Linked DNA regions of Macaca fascicularis. The protein of the gene in region 1 interacts with the protein of each later gene in a pairwise test. Links are inferred from orthologs where the notes say so. Each region holds a gene or a part of one and is shown on either strand. Other genes may lie near its edges.

Region 1 (5,725 bases):
GAGCTGGGAATTTGAGTATTAAAGGACCTCAAGAGGGCAGCTGAGAAAATAGGCCAGTGGTCTCAGGCCGACGCATTCCAGTCTGTGGGAAAGTCACAAAGCCAAAGCCTGAATTTGGCCAAAGAAATGGATTTGTCTTTATCTTGTTAACCTCAATGAGGGCTGGAAGAACTAGTAGCTGACCACCAAGGTACCTGACCTGAGAGTCTTAGTGCTATTTATACATTCAAGACTGTGACTAACATAAAATGCCTAATTAGAAAGTCACATTTCCCTTGTCCCGCCGTCATGTCACTTCAGGTCCTTGTGTCTAACCCTGGGTCTGGCATTTGCCCATAGGCTCTGTGGCATCAGCTATCATAAAAGTAGTTAAGAGGGATAAACTTGATAACCTGTGTTCTCTCCAAAGAGCGGAAAGTGGGTACAGTATGTGGCTACGTTGCTTTGTTAGGCTGGCAGAACAGTCCCTCCCTGATACCATTCCTTTGGAAAATAATTCAGATAAGCTGAATTCTGGTTTGGCCAAGCCAAACAAAAAGGAATGAAAACCAAAGCCCTAAAGAGGAACTTACCTCCTGGCTAGTTCTTGGCATCTCCATGGCTGAGTTACCCAACAAGGAGTGAAAGCCTTCAGGGTGCTTCAGTTGCTCCTGTCATCCTGCACTCAGAGACACCACTGGGCAGAACCACTATCCCAGCCAGGACAAACCAAGACCACAGGTGGTGTGGGCAGGGGGTAGATGTGTGGCCAAGCATGGGCTACCTCTGTGCAGGGGCTGCTGGGAGCACCGGGCTCTGAGTTTGCTGTCCTCAGGTGATGGGCATGCCAGCCAACACCATGCAGTACCCACAGGCTCCACGGTCTTCCTGCCGTGGCTCATGTTTCTGGCCCCTGTGACAGCTCTTTGGCTTTACCGTATGTGAGGACAGCATGGCTGGAAGCCAGGGGTACTCAAGAGAACCACAAAGAGCAGTCATGCTAGACCTAGGAGCCAGTGATGTGACTCTAAGATGGGGAGGTAAAATGTCCTTTCTCACAGGCACCCTGTGAGGACTGCAGGTCCCAGCTTAGCCATCCTTCCCTCCTCGGTGCACTCTGAGCTGCTGGCCAGGCTGGCAAAGCCACAGCTGCTTTGTTGGATGTTTTTTTATTGCTTCCTCATTATCCCCTCTTTATCCTCTATTCTGCAGGGAAGCAGGGATTAGGGTAGAAAGACATGGGTCAGGGAGAATATCAACCTCCTGAATAACAGTACAAAGTGCTTTAAAGAAACAGATCCCACAGGCATGGAGAAGGGCCAAGGGTTCTGCCATATGTAGGGTCTTGGCACCCTGGAGGGCAAAAGAAATGCCCAGTTTCCTCGTTACTAGATTTAGAACTATTCATTTCCTAGATTATTTTTTAAAAACCAAACTTACCAAGCCTTGTGCTTAAACACCTTAGGAAAAAAGACATCCCACCTTCCATTATAAAACTGGGCCTCTACAACACCAGGAGCGGCCTTTTCCCCAGAATGAACCCATTCCCCATGGGCCTCAGCTGAGGCCTAAGGGGCAGTAGCCCTTCCACAGAGTGCCTAGGGGAAGGTTCTCGGCAGGAGGTGGGTCAGCCCATTTGCCCCAGGGAGCAGAAGCAGCTCCCTGTCAGACAGGAAGGGTGATGGTGAGCAGATAGGACAGGACTCAGTCTCCATAAGTGCTCGGGGGCAAGGCAGAGGAATGTGGTCCCTCCTCTGCCCAGACCCTCTGACCTCCGAGCAGGGTCTGTCATGCCTCTGGGTGCTGGAGCAGAGACCCAGCCAGCAGCAGCATGGGGTGGCCAATAGGGCAGGTTCCACAGGACGGGAGATAGGGCCTCCCGTGCCCTGACTTTCTGAGGGTCTGGTCAGTCACGATGAGTAGACTGGTGGCCGAGCTGCCGGTCATCGTAAGTGCTGTAGCGCTTGACGTGGATGCGGCGGACACGGTCCCGCAGTTCAAAGGTCTCCTCGTCTTCACTGGGGGAAGCCTGGCTGCGGCTACGGCTTGTAGCCTCCAACAAGGAGTTGTCGGGAACGCGGGGAGTCTCATAGAGTAAAACGTTGAGTGTCTCCTCATAGATTCGGGCCTCTGGGAATTCCACCTGGGGTGAGGGAGGATGAAGACGGAGCAATGTTTCATCTTGGAGAGGGAGCTGTGTGTCAGAGCTGCTGGCCCTGAGGCTCCATAAGGCCTCTGCTACCTCATAAGACAGGTGGCGGTCCGTCTCCAGGGAGAGCCAGCCTCCCTCCTAAGGCGGGGTGAGGGAGTGTACTCTATAGACATGAGGACAGGGAAGACCAACACCCTCCGCACCCCTGCCCCAGCCTGAGACCAAGGGACTAGTGGGCATAGAGGGTGGGCCAGGCCTAGGTCCAAACACAGCTCCACCACTTGCTAGCTGTGGAGCCTTGGGCTGAACCCTTCTGGGCGGTAGCTCCCTTATGTACAAAAGGATGGTTTAGATCAACCCCTGAGAGTTCCTGTCAACATTACAGGAAAGATGTGATTGCTTAGCAGAAGCCTGGCACATAGCAAACCACCAAGCAGAGACATACAAAGAGCAGCTGCTATGCTGAGTGGTTCCGCTGCCTTTCCCTGCCTGCCCGACCCAGTGTGTCACCGGCATGACCTGCCCGGAGGAGAGAAAGGGAATGCAGTCAAGCACCTGAATTCTAGCCTGACCTGCTCTGTTGGACTGAGCTTCTGTTCTCTCATCTGTCACATGGGGAGAGTGGCTCTAGCCCTGTGTGTCTCACAGGTGTATTGTGAGAGGTCACAAGAGTTCATGAAAGAGAACACACTTAGGAAGATGCCAGGTGCTGCTGCCACTTCCACCGCAGCGTCACCAGCCACTAGAGACCTGCCCCTGAACCCTTTCGCCACCGATAGGGTCAGGAGCCACCCACACTGTCACCTTCCCTCCCACCCCTACACCAAAAACTGCAGGAGGAAGCAGGGTCACCTGTAAGCTGGCCTTCCCCAAACCCTCTGCAGATCTCCCAGCCGGAGGCACTTGAGTAGTTTAGGGGTCGACAGGTTGCTTGGCAAGTCTGGCTACTTTGAGCTCTTCACACCTACATGGCCCTTCCTGGATGACCTGCCATCCACCCTAGCAGATCATCTCCAGGACCTGCACTCACAGGAGGCAGCTCCTTTCTGGGGTAACTGACTGCAGCTGGGGGAGAGGGGCCAGCTGAGTTTGTGATGACTGTCACCTATCAAATGCCTGATGTGTACCTGGCACTAAGTTGATTAGCCAGAAACCCCCAGCTAGTGGGGGCCAGTGAGGAGATTTTATTTTATTATTATTAAGAGTGTTTGGAAACTCCTGGGCTCAAGGGATCTTCCCACTGCAGCCTCCTGAGTAGCCGGGACTACAGGCGTGTGCCACGATGCCTGGCTAATTTTTCTATTTTTTGTAAAGACGGGGTTTCACCATGTTGTCCAGGGTGGTCTTAAACTCCTGGGCTCAAGTGTTGTGCCCGCCTCTGTCCCTGGCTCAGATAGGAGATCTGAACAGCATTCCAACATGAAAGCCCAAGCTATTTCTACACCATACTTCCACTCCAAAAAGTTGTATCATTTTCGTATCTTGTCATACCATCATCCCCATGTCTGCAAATAAGGAACCTGAGGCCCAGATGGCTTAAGTGGCTTATCCAAAGTCAGAAAACTGGCAAGTGGTGGAGCCAGCGTTCAAACCTGAATTGGGCCAACTTCAAAGACCCAGTCCTTCCCACTGTACTAAGCCGCTTCCTGCTGGTCAACGGCCCCTGCCCTGAGCTGTCAGGAACAAAGCGGTTCCCTTCCATTCCCCACACCCCCTTGTTCTGGCTTTGTCCTTGCCCAGCACCATTACCATGTTTGGAAAAAAGAGCCAAGTGCACGCCCCTTTTGCTCCGTGCTAGTCACACCCCAACAACACCCTCCTACAGTGGGTGTGTGTCCTCCCTGACCCATGCAGGGGGAATCCCCCACACCTTGGTCTGCTTCTTCTCTGTGGCATACACGATGGAGGTACAGCACACCTCTGCCAGCTTACGGCCCTGGCCATAGAAGGACCAACAGCAGATCTCGTCGCCAATGACATCCTTGATGAAGAGCACGCGGCCGTTGAAGCGCAGGGAGAGCTTGTCAAATAGCTCGATGTTTTTCAGCAGGTGGTCATCAGAGTTGCTGAAAAACCCATGAGGGCCAAGAGGCCTGGGAATGAGGTTCCATTCCAAGGGAGTGTGCTAGACAAGTGGAGCCCTCCCCTCCCTCCCTTCCCCTGTCCTGTCCTGCTGAAATGAAAGCAAGATGCCAGGGGGCCAGGAGAGAAAGGATCATAGGGTACCCTCTGGGTTAGGGGGCCTGTAAGGAAAAGGAACTGAGTTGGTTTTAAGTCAAAGTAGGGACAACTGAGGGAGCAGGTCTCCCCTCACTAACGGGGAAGGAAGGAGACAACGCTGCTATTTCAGTGGGAGGCATTCCCTCCCTTACTGTGGGGGTGACAGTGGCAATGTGCCTGTCCACAGGGAAGCATAGGGAGGGTTTGGGACTCTGAACCTGCAGCCACCTGAGTCTACCTAACTGTGGCCTATGGATAGGACATGGGCTGGAGGGTGTGGGGAGAGAATCAGCCCAGTGTGAACCGCACAGGCTGACTCGGGGGACTCCCAGCTCACTGGCCTCCTAGCATCCCCTTCACCTGGTAGGATGACATGTGTGAAAACACCTGACATGCTGCCTTCGTGATACACGTTGAGGGCGCATTTCACCTTCAATCATTTATATCCCAGCCAGGGCACCCTGCCGAGTTCCAAAGGCCTCTGTCCCAATTTCCCTTCTACTTTCTGTTCTTCCCCCACTTAGCACAGCTAGTTCCAAGACCCAGGCCCAGACCCACGCCGACCATGCTGGGAGTGCAGGCAGCATGCATTGGGTCTGCTGCCCAGTGTCTGCTCTGGCTGCTCAGCCCTGTGACGCACCCTACCTGGTGTAGGAATACTTGTTGTTGCTTCTGTTGTACAGCAGCTTCACCACGGGCTGTGAAGGAGTTCAGAGTGAGGGCCAGGCCGGGGGCCTGGCATCCCCAGCCCGCAGCCCGCAGCCCTCAGAGGTCCCGGTACCTTGGTGGAGGATTCGATGAGCCGCTCCTCCTCCTTCAGGGATGTGATGATGGGGATGTTGCACACAGGCTGGTAGGAGTCCTTCTTGTCCTGCGCGACACAGAACAGAGAACCCTCTTTAGGATCTTCTGCTTTCCAGGCTTAGCCAGGTACCTCTGGAGCCCCTCTGCCATGGCCACCTGCAGCTTGGTGAGGAAGTGTCAGACACAAATCATGAGGCCCCTGGCAATAGAAACTGCCAGCTGGAAAGTGGACCCCCATTTAGAAAACCCAAGATCCAGGCCAGGTGCGGTAGCTCACACCTATAATCCCAGCATTTTGGGAGGCTGCGGCAGGCAGATAGCTTGAGCCCAGGAGTTTGAGATCAGCCTGGAAAACATGGTGAAACCTCAGTCCTACAGAAAATACAAAGATTAGCCAGGTGCCACGGCGCACGCCTGTATTCCCAGCTACTCTGAAGGCCAAGGCACGAGAATCACTTGAACCCAGGAGGCAGAAGTTGCAGTGAGCCAAGATCACACCACTGCACTCCAGCCTGGGTGACAGTCAAAAAAGAAACAACAAAAAAAAACCCGACAATCTAAAATCCAGGT
Region 2 (6,505 bases), on another chromosome or scaffold:
GAAGGTATCCAGCCGGGGGTTGGCAACTCTGGCCACCTTTTTACCTAATGAGAACAAACCACGTTTTTTTATTCTTTTTTCTAATTTGCCCCTTGGTAGCAAACCATGTTATACTTTTAGGAACCCAGGGTTTTTATTTCTGTCACCTTCAAAGAAAATATAATTTAGGTCCTAACCTGAACAGCACCCCAAATACCATACCTTGGACTTCCTGCACCTCAATAACACCAGGTGAGAAGCACCTGCTCAACTCCTCAGCTGCCTCCCCTTCCACGGGCTCAAGCAGGGTGATGTCTGGCAGGAGCCTATAACTGGCTGTTGCCACTGGTGAAAACTTGGCATGATCTTTGCCTGGAGAGGAAGAGAGAAAGTGCCTATACGAAACCCTTCTAGGATTAGGAAGAATACTCTTCCTAAGCTGCTAACAGCAAAAGCACGATGCTCTTGGCTTTCTACCTGCTAGGAATATCTCAGCTGAGTTCCCTAGTCAGCTTGCCCCACTGCAACCAAACTACCCCTCTTCCCAGGAAGGAACACAGGGTTCTCACCAATGCCCTTGACACAGTGCATAAGCAGGTCAATTTCTTGGCCAGGCCGCAGCTGAGCAATGAGGATGTCATCGTGCACTGGTCGGATAGTGCCCTCTGGGAAAAGATCAGCCTGATTCCCCAGGGGGATCCATGTCATATGCCTGGTATACACTGGAGGAAAAACATGTCAAAAGATTTCAGTTCCTAAAACTAGCAGCCACCCACAGGTGGGGCCTCTTCCTCACCCTACCACTACTTACCTTTGTGGTTCACATACAGTTCGTTGGGGTCAGAGGAATCTTTAGCAGCATGGGGGTTCCGAGTGCATCTGACTTGGAGACGAAACCGTAGGGTATCTATCTCTGTGCCGTCTTCATCTCCTGCACAAATGGAGGGAGCTCTTAAGAACTAGTAAACATCTGGCCGGGCGCGGTGGCTCAAGCCTGTAATCCCAGCACTTTGGGAGGCCGAGACGGGCAGATCACGAGGTCAGGAGTTCGAGACCATCCTGGCTAACACCGTGAAACCCCGTCTCTACTAAAAAATACAAAAACTAGCCGGGCGAGGTGGCGGGCGCCTGTAGTCCCGGCTACTCGGGAGGCTGAGGCAGGAGAATGGCGTAAAAACCCGGGAGGCAGAGCTTGCAGTGAGCTGAGATCCGGCCACTGCACTCCAGCCTGGGCGACACAGCGAGACTCCGTCTCAAAAAAAAAAAAAGAAAAAAAAAAAAAGAACTAGTAAACATCTGAGTGCCAGCACTATGCTGAATGCTTTACATATGTGTCCCATTTAATTACGGCAAACTTGGGAAGCCAAGGCAAGTGTTCTCACAGATGAAAAACACTGATGTACAAACATAAGTAACTTACCCAACATCACAGTCAACCAGGATTTGAACCCAGACAGTCCACTTCTCCCAAAATTTCATTTTCTTACCTTGATTCCGATACTCAAAAAGACGGGGATCAGCATGAATGGGAATGAGCCCCAGACGGTGAGCAAGGATCTCATCCTGAACAATGGATGTATTATTGTACACCAGGACCTTCTCCACAGCCATAGTTGGCACCTGCCCAAGGAAAAATAACCACTTATCTGCAAAAACCCAACAGACCCCCTACCTATCCCCACAACCCCACCCTCCAGAGGTAAGGAGCTATCTCTCTTCCTAGAATGTTTAATGAGAAATTTACAAAGAATGAGAAGGTAAAATGCTCAGCAAAATTCCAGGAAAAATGAGGGAAGGACAGCTTGAGACAATTCTCCAAGTGAGGTGTCAGTGCAGTTCCCAAAGCAACTCCAGCCTTGTCACCATGCCTGCCAATACCTCAGCTAACAGAATTCGTCGAAAAGCATTGGCAATGGCTGCGTCAATTCCCACCATGTCGAACTCCAGTGAGTTTTCATCCATGTGTACTACATCCACACGGAAATTCTAGAGGGACAGGAAAAACATTTAAGTGAAACCTGCTCTCTCTGTAATATCTCTTCATACCTCCCCCTTAGATAATTCCCTCAAGTATTATCCTCTCATCCAAAAACCTCCCTTTGCCCAGATGTCCCTTATTAAATATTCTTTCTCGCCCAGTGCTTTAGTTTCATAAAAAGTCTCCATTTTTGTCGTCCATTCATTAAAACCCTATGCAATATGGCTTCCAACCAAACCATCCACAGAAGCTATTCCACTAAAGAACAGAAACTACCATAGTGCTTAGTCCTGTTGACACTACCCAGTCCTCTTACTAGACTTCTGTTATGCTTGACATTGATTAAAAAACCTCCTCTGGGCCCAGCACGGTGACTCACACCTGTAATCCCAGCACTATGGGAGGCCGAGGGGCGGATCACAAGGTCAGGAGTTTGAGACCAGCCTGGCCAGCATGGTGAAACCCCGTCTCTACTAAAAATTCAAAAAATTAGCTGGGCATGGTGGCGCGTAGCTGTAGTCCCAGCTACTCGGGAGGCTGAGGCAGGAGAACTGCCTGAACCCAGGAGGCGGAGGTTGCAGTGAGCCAAGATTGCACCACTGCACTCCAGCCTGGGAGATAAGAGTGTCTCATGAAAAGGAAAAAAAAAAAAAAAATCCCCTTTTTTGAACGATTCCCCTGGTTTCTGAGCTCCACTCTTCTTCCATCTCTGATGATCAACTTCCACCCATCTCTAAATTTGCCAGGTTCTTGTCTCTCTCCCAGGTCACCTTAACTGTACTAACAGTTTTAGCAACTATCTGTTCTGACAACTCCCAAAATTTTATCTCACTTCTGATCTCATTTCAAGCATGCAGTCTTCTAGCCTGCTAGATTTCCCCACATACAGAAAACAATGCATCATCATCCCTGTTCCCCAGACCCATTTCTCCTCTTAGTAAATGATACCACAAAGCAAAAAGCAGTTCCCAAGCCAGAAAAAGTCATTTTATGCTACCCCCACAGCCTTTATCCAAGCAATCATAAATTTACCTTATATTCTTCCTTTGCTCTATTTCTACCATCAGTCTTAGTTCATATCTTCAACCTCAGCTTCCCTTACGACAGATCTGCCTGCTCCATATGATCCTCCTCAAACTCATTCCCTCCCAGCCATCAAGGTTGCAAATCTGATCATGTCTGCTTAAGAAACTATTCAAGCTCCCTATCATCCACAGTGTGACACACTTCAATCTTGCCGACCACTCATGCCAGAACTACTTGGACATTCCCGGAGCACATGTCACAGAAGTCATAATTTTTTTTCAAGCATTAGCCTTTTTCATTGTTCATACTTTATTCCTTGTATCAACAGGTTAAAAAAGTAAAATTTTCCCAGGCACTGATTTACACATCATGTTTATAAGCTGCATAAAGGGTAACATTTAGGTCAGTTGCATAAAGGGTAACATTCAGTAATCTATTTAAATGCAATTTTAACCCTTATTTTAAGCTAAGTGAAACAATAATACAAAAGACTAAATACACACAAAACCTGCATATCCTGAACTTCACTGACGTGAAACTCAAATCTTTCATAATTCAACTCCTGTTTTTTTTTTTACTTACCATTCAAGGTTCAATTCAGGTGTCCCCTCCTCTTGAAATGTTAAGTACCTCTCGGCCCCTCTTCCTGGTCTCAGCGGAATGCTCCCCACCCCAACCCTGCCGTCTTCATCGCTATCAACCACCTTCACCATATTACACTAGATGCACTTGTTTATACGCACCATTCCTCAACAAGACGGAATATCTCTGCAGAGATAGAAACCGTGTCTAATTTGGCCTGTAAACGGAGCGTCTAGCACATTGCTCAACAAACACAAACGGAGCGACCCCCAAAAGCAGCTGCTGAGACAGACACAGGCTGCTCAGGCCACAGGGTCTGGCCTTCATAACCCTCCCCAGACAACTTCGGCCCCACTTACCTTCTCGAAGCGGTCCTGGTCCCAGGCATCATCATAACCGGAATAGTTTCCGGGAAAGTCAGTGGTATGGACCTAGAGCAAAGGGACGAGTTTGTCCACAAAGGGACAATGAGCCCACGGCTATCCCCACGCCAATCCCAAGACCCACCCCTGTTCCGCTCTCATTCCTCCCGCCCGAGCTCAAGGCCACAAGGCTTACATTGCGAACCCCAAACTCCCCTAGAACCACGCGGCCCCGCATCTCCTCCACCGCCTGAGAAGCCGCCATCTTCAATCTCTCCACGAGACTGGAGGCTCTATCTGGCGCGTGCGTCCTAGTAGACTGGCTCCGTCTCCGTGGCAACGCGCCACCGCCTGGAATCTTAAATATCGCGAGACTTTTCCCCGCTTCCGTCCACGTCCCCAGCCTCCGGAAGTTGGTTTTGTCCAAACATCCGGGCTTCTCTTTTTTGTGTTCCGGCCGATCCCACCTCTCCTCGACCCGGGACGTCTCCCTCACTAAGGCCCACGTCTCGCCCACTCCTCCGCGCGCGGGGCTAGCGCGGGCTTCAGCGACGGGAGCCTTCAAGGGACATGGCAACTACAGCGGCGCCGGCGGGCGGCGCCCGAAATGGAGCTGGCCCGGAATGGGGAGGGTTCGAAGAAAACATCCAGGTAATGGCCCCAAGGCACTAGCTGCCAGCAACCCGAGGGCCAGCGATGTCCAGAAGTGTCTTGAGGATTCTCCCTGTGGGCCTGGAAGTCCGCTCCATTTGCAAAACTCTCTTCTTTGGGTCTTCGTGCACACTAAAGTCAGTAGGATTAACATTGACCTGAAAGGGCCAGACTAGTACTCCAGCCTGAGGGTCTCGGGTCTCTGGGCCCGCTCGAGGCATTAGGAAGAAGGTATTCTTGGAACAAGTTAGGAAGTTGGTCGGGGTCAGGCATGGAGTGGGGTTGGGTGGGGATTCACTGGCATTCGCTGAAAACATATTATGTGTATAGTTTTGTTTGGGGCTTAGGAAAGAAGGAAATGGGCACTTTTTCAGCCTTTTAGTCTTTGGTAGGTAAGGTAGGAAAAAGACAGGAATGGAAGACTAGTAGTATGTTTCCCAGGCTAGAAAATTCAGCCAAAGCTAGAAACCAAGAGTTCTGAGAGCATATGAGGGGGAATGGAGTGGCATGATCTGTAGTGATTCCGAGCCGTATCCTCAGCAGTGGAAGAACAAAGCCCTAAACCCTGGGATGAGCAGAGGACTTAATGGATGGAACAGAAAAGTCCTGCACTCTAGGAGCCATTGTCTTCACAGGGCGGAGGCTCAGCTGTGATTGACATGGAGAACATGGATGATACCTCAGGCTCTAGCTTCGAGGATATGGGTGAGCTGCATCAGCGCCTGCGCGAGGAAGAAGTAGACGCTGATGCAGCTGATGCAGCTGCTGCTGAAGAAGAGGATGGAGAGTTCCTGGGCATGAAAGGCTTTAAGGGACAGCTGAGCCGGCAGGTGGCAGATCAGGTAAGCATGATTGAATCTTCTGCAGGTGGAAAGGTATACCTAGGTATGTCCCATGTTCTGGAGTTGGTGTTGGTGATGTTTGCCCCAGGTTGTCCAGTTAGAACCATGTAGAAATCAAGCGGAAAATAGGCAACAGGGTCTAGAACCAACAGTCCCACAATACCTATGCCCATCTTCCTTACTTCAGATGTGGCAGGCCGGGAAGAGACAAGCCTCCAGGGCCTTCAGCTTGTACGCCAACATCGACATCCTCAGACCGTACTTTGATGTGGAGCCTGCTCAGGTGCGGAGCAGGTGAGGAGCCTTCTCTTGAAGAAGCTTCCCTCCTAACACCTAGTCCTTTATGCACACTACAATCAGATTTCAAGCCCTGGGCTCTGGTGGGCTCCCCCTCTTCATGACCCCATCATCTCTCATCACTACACCTGTCACTGAAACAAATAATAATAGCTACCAACTTTCTCCTTTTTTCCATCTAGCTGACTACTCATATTCCCTCAAAACCTACCTCAGATGTCACTTCCTCTGTTCCACATTCCTCAATCCCACCCCCAGTTTGTTCTCTCCTGGTGTTCCTATAGAACTTTGTGCTTGGCAGCCGGGCGCGGTGGCTCACGCCTGTAATCCCAGCACTTTGGGAGGCTGAGGCGGGTGGATCACAAGAGCAGGAGATCGAGACCATCCTGGCTAACACTGAAACCCCGTCTCTACTAAAAATACAAAAAAAATTAGCCGGGCGTGGTGGCAGACACCTATAGTCCCAGCTACTTGGGAGGCTGAGGTAGGAGAATGGCATGAACCCGGGAGGCAGAGCTTGCGGTGAGCCGAGATCGCGCCACTGCGCTCTAGCCTGGGCCACAGAGCGAGACTCCATCTAAAAAAAAAAAAAAAAAAAAAAAAAGAACTCTGTGCTTGCCTCTAATAGACAGCACTTCACCACTGCTTTCCTTTCTTATTCCTGGAATCTTCCCCCCAGAGACCAACAGCATCTCAAAAGCAGGCTCTGTCTTGTTTATCTTTTTATTCCCAGCAGCAGAACAGTCTCAGAATCAAAATATCAGGGCATAGTTTTTGAGTGACTTTTC

The links. The genes of interacting proteins can lie anywhere in the genome.
Region 2: the proteins of TNFAIP1 (region 1) and POLR1C interact in binary tests that used the Homo sapiens proteins (3 or more experiments, as listed by UniProt). The link is inferred for Macaca fascicularis from reciprocal best matches to the Homo sapiens genes TNFAIP1 and POLR1C.

Annotation. Positions count from the first base shown.
Region 1 is NC_088390.1:33,803,317-33,809,041, reverse strand, and holds part of TNFAIP1 (BTB/POZ domain-containing adapter for CUL3-mediated RhoA degradation protein 2), read right to left. Parts: intron 5,223-5,725; coding exon 5,133-5,222; intron 5,050-5,132; coding exon 4,997-5,049; intron 4,198-4,996; coding exon 4,002-4,197; intron 2,123-4,001; coding exon 1,886-2,122; 3' UTR 1-1,885. UniProt on the Homo sapiens protein: Substrate-specific adapter of a BCR (BTB-CUL3-RBX1) E3 ubiquitin-protein ligase complex involved in regulation of cytoskeleton structure.
Region 2 is NC_088378.1:128,002,399-128,008,903, forward strand, and holds the start of POLR1C (DNA-directed RNA polymerases I and III subunit RPAC1), read right to left. Parts: upstream 4,214-6,505; 5' UTR 4,193-4,213; coding exon 4,124-4,192; intron 3,997-4,123; coding exon 3,925-3,996; intron 1,966-3,924; coding exon 1,858-1,965; intron 1,600-1,857; coding exon 1,467-1,599; intron 911-1,466; coding exon 791-910; intron 702-790; coding exon 549-701; intron 352-548; coding exon 202-351; intron 45-201; coding exon 1-44. Other genes in the region: protein YIPF3, read left to right, coding at 4,498-4,578, 5,214-5,420, 5,608-5,714. UniProt on the Homo sapiens protein: DNA-dependent RNA polymerase catalyzes the transcription of DNA into RNA using the four ribonucleoside triphosphates as substrates.